Linked DNA regions of Oryctolagus cuniculus. The protein of the gene in region 1 binds, or shares a complex with, the protein of each later gene. Links are inferred from orthologs where the notes say so. Each region holds a gene or a part of one and is shown on either strand. Other genes may lie near its edges.

Region 1 (3,500 bases):
ACTTGCCTCGGCTTCGATCTCATCATACAGGAACTGCTTTTTAAACTTCGTCAGGGCATAGTAGGCACTGTCGTTGTACAGGTCCAAAGGGTAGAGGACGTACCTGCAGGGGGACACGGAGAGCCAGCAGCTTGGTGAGGGCGTCTCGCAAGGCAGCCAGGTGGCCCCTTACTCAGAGACAGAGGGCGGAGGAGAGAGGGCACAAGTTCAGGGCTGGGAGGAGAGTTTCCAGTGCCTCCACCACTTAGAAATGACTTACTCTACAGGCTGCCCGGAAATCCAAAGCCCCAGTGGCTAAGACAAGCAGGGCCTGAGCTGAAGTCTGGCACTAAGACAAATCAGGTGGCAGGGAAGGGCAGCAGCTGCCTGACCCAAAAGAGGGCTTATTTCCCAAGCAGCGCTGATTTGCGGCTGATGAAACACAGGATGGCCAGGTGGGCTGGGAGGACGCTCCCGGATCTTTCTGCAGCCAGACCTGGTGTGTCCTAACCCCTGGTGGCACACCCCACCTGACCTACAGTCAGCTCAGACCTTCCTTCTGCAAAGGATGAGCTCACTGGAAAGCCACCTTCCACCTGCATCCCAGGAACCTCCTTACAGGTCCAATCCTGCCTCTTACTCCATCATGGAAGGTTCTTTGGTTTCCAGGATATGGTCTGTTAGAATCCAAGGCATGGACATCTCAATGGGGAACTGGATTCGCCGGCCCATAGTTAACTCCAGGAAGAATTCTCGGAACCAGAGCTGAGAGAGGTCGCAACATTGCTGGAGAGCTTCTGGAAGTGTAGGGAGAGAGCCTTGGGTTATAGGCAGCACACAAAAAATCACAGTTCTTGATTTTCTTCCTGTTATTGTTATCCTCACTCTGCTAAGTATGCAGCAGGTACCTCACACATACTGAGTAGCACATCCTGTGCCCTTGTACTTCAGACAAGACTAATATTTGCCTGGAGAGCTGCATCTGTTAAGCTTTAGAGATGTGTGGTGGAAGTGGCGGTGGTGTTTGAGGACTTTAGATGCCCCCAGATTTCCATCACCCCCTACAGAGCCATCGTGAAAACATGATTTAAGTGTACAACACACACCTTTAAGAGAAGTCGCCATGCACCCACTTCCAGCTGGGCTGTGGCTCCTTGACCCCGGCTGTGTGGTTCAGAGGCCTTGAAGGCCCTTCCTAGGCAACTCTCTGATGGACAAGTTCTGACTGGTTGTTGAAGTGAGTCAAGCTCTTCAATGCCAAGAGACACAGGACAACCGCACGTCCCTAGGACACTGGTCTGCCACCTGTCCTATAGGATGTGCACCCTACTAGCAGAGGACGGGTAGAGCACAGGGGCTGGGCTGCAGCCTGCCAGGCTCTTCTGTGGGGAGAGTGGGCACTGCTCAACTCCCAGCTGCGGCTTAGCAGCCAAAGGCCAGTGAACGCCTCGTGTGTTTCCACGTTTGCAATCCCGTTTCTGACTCTGCTCCACCAAAGACGTCCTGATAAATCCGCCACAAATGCGCCCTGGACAGCTGCTGAGCTGACCACGTCAGAAGAGGTGAACTGGGCCTGGTCCTCCTCCCCAGCTCCCGCAGTCCACCAGGAAGTGGGGATCCTCCCTTGCAGGCAGACTGTGCCACTGCCGGCCCAAGGGGCTCAGCCACGCGGGAGGCAGGAGCCCCCGCCTCTGCCCTGGGCTCTGCAGCTCACCACTGATGTTGAGCAGGTGTGTGAAGAAGAAGGACTGTTTGTGGAAGTCCTCGATGGCCAGGACGATGGGCCCGTCCAGGCTGCTTCGCAGGGTCTTCTTGGAGCCACTTTTATCTGCGATGAGCGATTCAAGCATCGTCCGCACCATGTACAGCTTGAAGGCAAAGGAAGACGCGGTTAGGGGTCAGCCGCCATCCTGGGCCAAGCTTGCTTTGCGCTGTATTTGTTTTCTTTCTGCTCTTAAAAACAATGTCTTGAGAAGGCACCATGTGAGGCAGAGAAGCGAATTTGCAACTGTGAAAACCTTCAGGAGAGAGACGGGCCACCCCGGGAAGGAGCTCTGCCCAGAACTCTGAGACATTCCTGGGTGGGTGGATCTGGCCACCACCGGTGGTAGTTAAGAGGCCCAGGGAGAGGTTCCTGCCGGCCCTGCTCAGCCAAGGGCACAGGCTTCAGAGGAGAACCTCATCCTATGTCACTCTCGGCCTTCCCAGACAGCCACAGTGGCGTCGTGGGTGGGGCACTGGACTAGGAGTCAAAAGACCTGGGTTCAAGGCCAGGCACTGCCTCTGACTTGCTGTGTGACCTTAGGCAACAAAGCACCCACTCTGGACCTCAGTGGTATTACATACTGTGAGGGGTTGGACCAGGTGTTCTCTCCCTCCAGGCCCTTGCAGCTCTAACCTTCTGCGGAAGTGTGAAATGGGCTAAGATCCGAAAGAGCCCCCCTCCCCTCCCACAGCTCAGAGTTCTGATCCTCTGCATTTTGCAGCCATCACAGGAGGGAAGGCGCCCTCTGGTGGCGAGCGTGCAACGGTGCAGCCTGAAGAAACCCTGGGTGCAAAGTGGGCTCACGTCGGTACTTACAAAGGAGGCTACAGGACAATTAACTCCTGCTTACTGGGAGCCCTAAGCGCCAAGGGCGTGAGTGCGGTGGGACTGTTCGTTCTCTCTGCTAATCTAGATCTTTCCACACCATCTGTCTCTGAATCTGAGGCTGGAAGGGGCCTTGAGGAGTCAGGCTAGTCCATTCCCGCTGCCTCCTGGAGAGCAGTACCCAAGCCAACCCCGCCAGGCGGTGTTATACCAGGGATCGGCAGCCTCTTCGGCCCTGTGTGCCACCAGTGGGGTGAAACAAAGCCCTCGGGGACCACTGGCAGGCCTAAGACACAGATAGGAGAGAAGGAAGAGGGGATGGGAGGGCAGGAGAGACAGGGAGGAGGGAGAGAGAGAAAGAGAGAGAGAGAAAAGCAAGAGGTATTGCATACGGTGGGAAAGCCATCGCGACTGCTAGGGGCCGCCGCCGAGCCGCTCCAGCCTCCCAGCAACCACGCTCACCTGGGCTCCCTCGCCTTCTCTGGGCTCTTCCCCACCACATGGCCGGGCCTGCAGGGCCAGTGCAGCCAGAGACACGCGGGACACCGTCCCTGCGCGCGCTTCCCTTCCCGCACCCCTGCTGCTGGCGGCACCTTCTCCTCCGGGAGAGCCGAGAGGCCCTCTCCTAGCCACCACCTGGGGGCCCCAGAGAACGGAGCTGTCGAGCCCCGTGTGCTGCTGCGTGCGGCTGCTTCCGCCAGACTCTTAACTGTCTGAAAACCTGGTTGCATCCTTAAGAGGGTGAACGCTTTCCCCAACTTCTGTAACCGTACACGTTATTTCCTGGAAGAAACCGCACTGCAGCTACTCCCCATGTCTATCGGGCTACTCCCACGGCTGTAGCGGAGCCCTGCGGGGGAGTCAGGAGACCTGGGTTCTTGTCCCCCCTCCACGTGGGACGCACCGTGTGACTTGGACAAGTCACTTCCCT
Region 2 (4,097 bases), on another chromosome or scaffold:
GCGGTGCCATGGCGCTCAGCCCTGCACCCATCGTAACACTGTGCTTATTTCTAACTCTTCAGTACTAAACTCATTCTCTAACATTTTCAAAAACGACACCAAACATCCGGCCACCATCATCATTTCAGTGGAGGACAACAGCCATGAGAAGCTATTTCTTTCTGGCTCCTGAAGATTAAAATTCTGCATGTCCATTTCGTCGGCCTCGGCCCTGGTGGAAATCCCAAACAGAACAGCAAATCCCTCCTCTAACTGAGCAGATGTGACCCCGCCAGAGCGCAGACGGCAAGAAAGCAACACTGTGCCCCTGCACATCCTCCATCACGCCTCCATTTCAGTCAGCCCCAAGACCCAGCCAACTTGGTGGGACTAGGGTTCAAGACAGATACACGATACGACTCTGTGCTCAGAGGTGAACTTACCACACTGCCTAGACCCCAGCTGGAGGACTGAGGGGCTAGACACGTCCACACTGGAAAAGCCGCCCCAGCCAGCTTGCTATGTCCGAAGCTCGGGCGCCTGAACTGACCTTAACCTGGATGAGTACTCGGTGGGTGCGTGTCAGTTATTAAGCACAACCGTATGAACCAAGTATTTTCATTCTGCTTTTTCAGACCAACTTAGAACGTCCCAGGTCAGTGATCTTTCCAACTACTGCCCTCCGAAGTCTCAAAGCCAGGATCCTGTCACCTATCAACCTGACCGGTCCCCTGCATGGAATATTTTGGTTTCTGCCACGTAGTCCTTCTCTAACAAAGGTTTTGCGTGAAGAATGCTGTGAAGGGGCCGGAACCATCATGCAGTGGGTGAAAACCGCTGCCTGCGGCGCCAGCATCCCACCCACTTCCCATCCAGCTCTCCGCTGTGGCCTGGGAAAGCAGTGCAAGACGACCCAAGTGCTTGGGCCCCTGCACCCACATGGGAGACCCGGAAGAAGCTCCTGGCTCCTGGCTTCGGATTGGCGCAGCTCTAGCCGTCATGGCCATGTGGGGACTGAACTAGAGGATGGAAGACCTCTCTCTCTCTCTTTCAAATAAATAAATAAATCTTTGGGGGAAAAAATGCTATGAAGAACCCTTAACATTTCAGTTATCTGGGAAAGAGGAGAACCAACTGTGAGAATAATGAAACATCATACTGAAGCAACTTGTACAGAACTTTACAAATTCTGAGGAAACCCAGAGGAGCCGGGCGAGTCAGTCGGTATTTCCCACATGTTGTCAGTTCACTAAAACCAGTCTTGCCATTTATTTTTTCCAAGACACTGCTTCACTTACGTCCCTTTCACTTCACTGTTTCCCACCAGCCTCTGCAGCACCTCACGCCCTTCACACACACCACGGACACCCACGCCTGGCCCGTCCTCCCAGGAACAGCGCCTGCAGCCCCAGCCTCCGGAGGGAGGGCCTCGCCATGCCCCCACACCTCCGCACGGTCCCCTCCTCCACGCTGTCCCGGCCTCGGCTTCAGTCAGACCCTGCTCAGGGCGGGACTGCGACGCCACCGCACCGGCTGCGGGGCTGGGGCCCCACGCCACTCCCACCCCAGTTCCCCTTTAACGCACACCCCGGGAGCGAGCAGGGGTTCCTGTCACGCGTGAGAGCCACAGGCCGAGTGCCTGGCCCCGCTTCCAGCCTGTTCCGGCCCTAACCAGAAGATGATGACCTCCCCGCCTTACAAATGCAACAGAAGTATCCTTAGAAAGTGTGACCAAGACAAGAGCTCTGAGGGAGGCAAATGGTCCTCCCGTGCCCTCCCCCAACCTCGGAGCCGGCTCCTCGCTCAGCTCTCGCCTCACCACCTAGAAAATAATTCATCCAGGGCTGCCACCGCGGGGCGGCATCCCATACGGGCGCTGGTTCGCGTCCCGGCTGCTCCACTTCCCATCCACCTCCCTAATGGCCTGGGAAAGCAGTGGAGGATGGCCAAGCGCTTGGGCCCCTGCACCCGCGTGGGAGACCCGGACAAAGCTCCTGGCTTAGGCCTGGCCACTGCGGCCATCTAGGGAGCGAGCCAGCGGATGGAAGCTGGGGGCGGGCGGGGGGAACTGACTCGTTCTAAACGCTTCTGCAATGACACACGTGCACGCAGGTTTCTCCCGTTTAACCGGAAGGGCTTCACGTTGCTCAACGAGCAGACAGAAGAACCCTTCGAGGAAACAGGCCACTCTTGCCCTCCGCACCCCGCGCTGGCCGGCCGGGGCGAGGGGCGGCAGAGGGAACGCTCACGGGCTCTCGGGCAGGCCGCGCCCGGATTCCTGCAAGGCTGTCTCGGCCGCGCGAGCCGGGCCCACGGCGCGCCACCTCCGGCGACCTCCCGGCCCCGACCCCAGCCCACGGGGGGCCCGCCGGAGCGCGCGGAGCAGACCCCCCGAGCAGCGAGGGGGCGCAATGGAAGCGGACGCCGCGCGGGTGGACGGGGCCGCCTGGCCGGCCAGGCGCTGCCCGAGGGCCAGGGAGACGCGGGAAGGTGGGGCCTGAAGCAGGAAGCGAACCCCGGAACGCGGCCGCAAGCGCCCCCTCAGGGTCCCCGCCGGGCCGCCGCGGAGGGCCCCCCACCGCCCAGCCACCCCGGCTCGCCCACGGACCGAACGAATTGAGAAAGTCCGCGATTTTCTTGATGCTGCTGGTGATGACCTCAATGTACTCCCGGTTCGCCCAGTCCTGGTGAATCTCCCGCTGCACCGGATCCTCTTGCCCCGCCATGGCGGCCGCCGAAGGAAGAGTGGCTGCGCAGGCGCCGCGACACCCGCCCCCCCACAGGCAGCCAGTGCGCCTGCGCCCCCAGGCCCAACCCGCCCCGGGCGCGCACGACTCCACGGGCTTCGTGATGCGCCTGCGCAGCGTCACGTCCGCGCCTGCGTTTGCACCCGGCGCCCACGCCGCGGAAAGCAAAGCGGCGGCTCGGGGAGGAGCGCTGTGCGCCTGCGCAGGGCGCCGCACGCCCACGTCCGGCGGGCCGCTGTGGGCGTTAGGGGCCGCGTGGGCTTCCCTCGCGTCCGCCCAGGTGGCCGCAGCGATACGCCGCGTTCGCCGAGGGAACAGAGCCTGATCGTACTCGGCGGCGGCGGGGGCGAGCCCGGGCCGCTCAGGAGGAACTCTGTAACGGAGCGGTTACGTAACCCAGCGCTTTTGAAAATTACGGACACAGACCACTCGAGGCAGAGATGCGCTCTGTACCCTGATCTGCTGCAGCCGGCCGAGGCGATAATAAAATACTATACTGTCCTTTAGATGCTAACTAGGAGCACCTGGCAACGGGAACGGGGCGCACTGGAGAAACCGAGGGGGAAAACGATGCACATTTTTAATAACTGCCACTAGGCAAAAATCATGTCTGATAGGTGGGGACGAGTGTAACCCCAAACCAGTGCGGGGCTTGTTAAGGCGGTGGAATAACGTGCAATTTTACCTTTGTCTCAAGGAGTATTTTCTGGTATGCAGAAATGCCTTTGATAAAAAGGAAAAAAAAAAGCGGAGGGATCCGTGTTTCTGGCAGTCACGGGGAAGACCCCAGTGCGCACAGCCCTTTGATTCCTGGACGCCTGTAGAGATGTGTCTGCAGCTGATTCTCACGGGACCCGCAGGGTCGTCGCCGGCAGGTGAACCCTGTCCCGCTGACTGTCCACGTCTCCCTGGACCCTGAGAACGGCAGGAGGCCTGTCCGAGCTCCCCTGTAGTCACACAATTTCCTAAAGCAATAATACACCCGGCCCGCGCTGCCCCAGCCAGGTGAGGCTGTGGTCCCCCTAGCTGCCTGTCCCAGGGAGCGAAGAGACCTGCTCTCCCCTAAGGCAGCATGGGTTAAAAGAGGAGCCACTGCCCCCTTTAAGAGGTCGAGGGGAAGAGGGGCGAGGAGGGGGAGACAGGGCCCGCATCTGCTGAAGTCCTCGAGTGCCCACGCCGAGCTTTGAGCGGGGAACCCGGCCCAGGGGTGTCATGTGCATGGCAGGAACCCAGTCGCCCGAGCTGGGGCATGGGCTGAATGCCGGCCTCCCACCCCTGTGTTTTTGTTTTTAATTTATGAGCCACACACAGACCAAGGATCTGCCAGGCCTCTGAGCCGCTGTGGTCTCCCGAAGCCTGACCCCACCTCAG

What was found. Proteins that work in one complex are often made in the same cells at the same time.
Region 2: CYFIP2 (region 1) and BRK1 share a complex: the UniProt entries of both Homo sapiens proteins name them as parts of the WAVE1 complex. The link is inferred for Oryctolagus cuniculus from reciprocal best matches to the Homo sapiens genes CYFIP2 and BRK1.

What each region holds. Positions count from the first base shown.
Region 1 is NC_091437.1:44,298,350-44,301,849, reverse strand, and holds part of CYFIP2 (cytoplasmic FMR1-interacting protein 2), read right to left. Parts: intron 2,856-3,500; coding exon 2,781-2,855; intron 1,848-2,780; coding exon 1,694-1,847; intron 777-1,693; coding exon 620-776; intron 104-619; coding exon 7-103; intron 1-6. UniProt on the Homo sapiens protein: Involved in T-cell adhesion and p53/TP53-dependent induction of apoptosis. Does not bind RNA. As component of the WAVE1 complex, required for BDNF-NTRK2 endocytic trafficking and signaling from early endosomes.
Region 2 is NC_091441.1:116,687,069-116,691,165, forward strand, and holds the start of BRK1 (protein BRICK1), read right to left. Parts: upstream 2,801-4,097; 5' UTR 2,706-2,800; coding exon 2,588-2,705; intron 1-2,587. UniProt on the Homo sapiens protein: Involved in regulation of actin and microtubule organization. Part of a WAVE complex that activates the Arp2/3 complex. As component of the WAVE1 complex, required for BDNF-NTRK2 endocytic trafficking and signaling from early endosomes.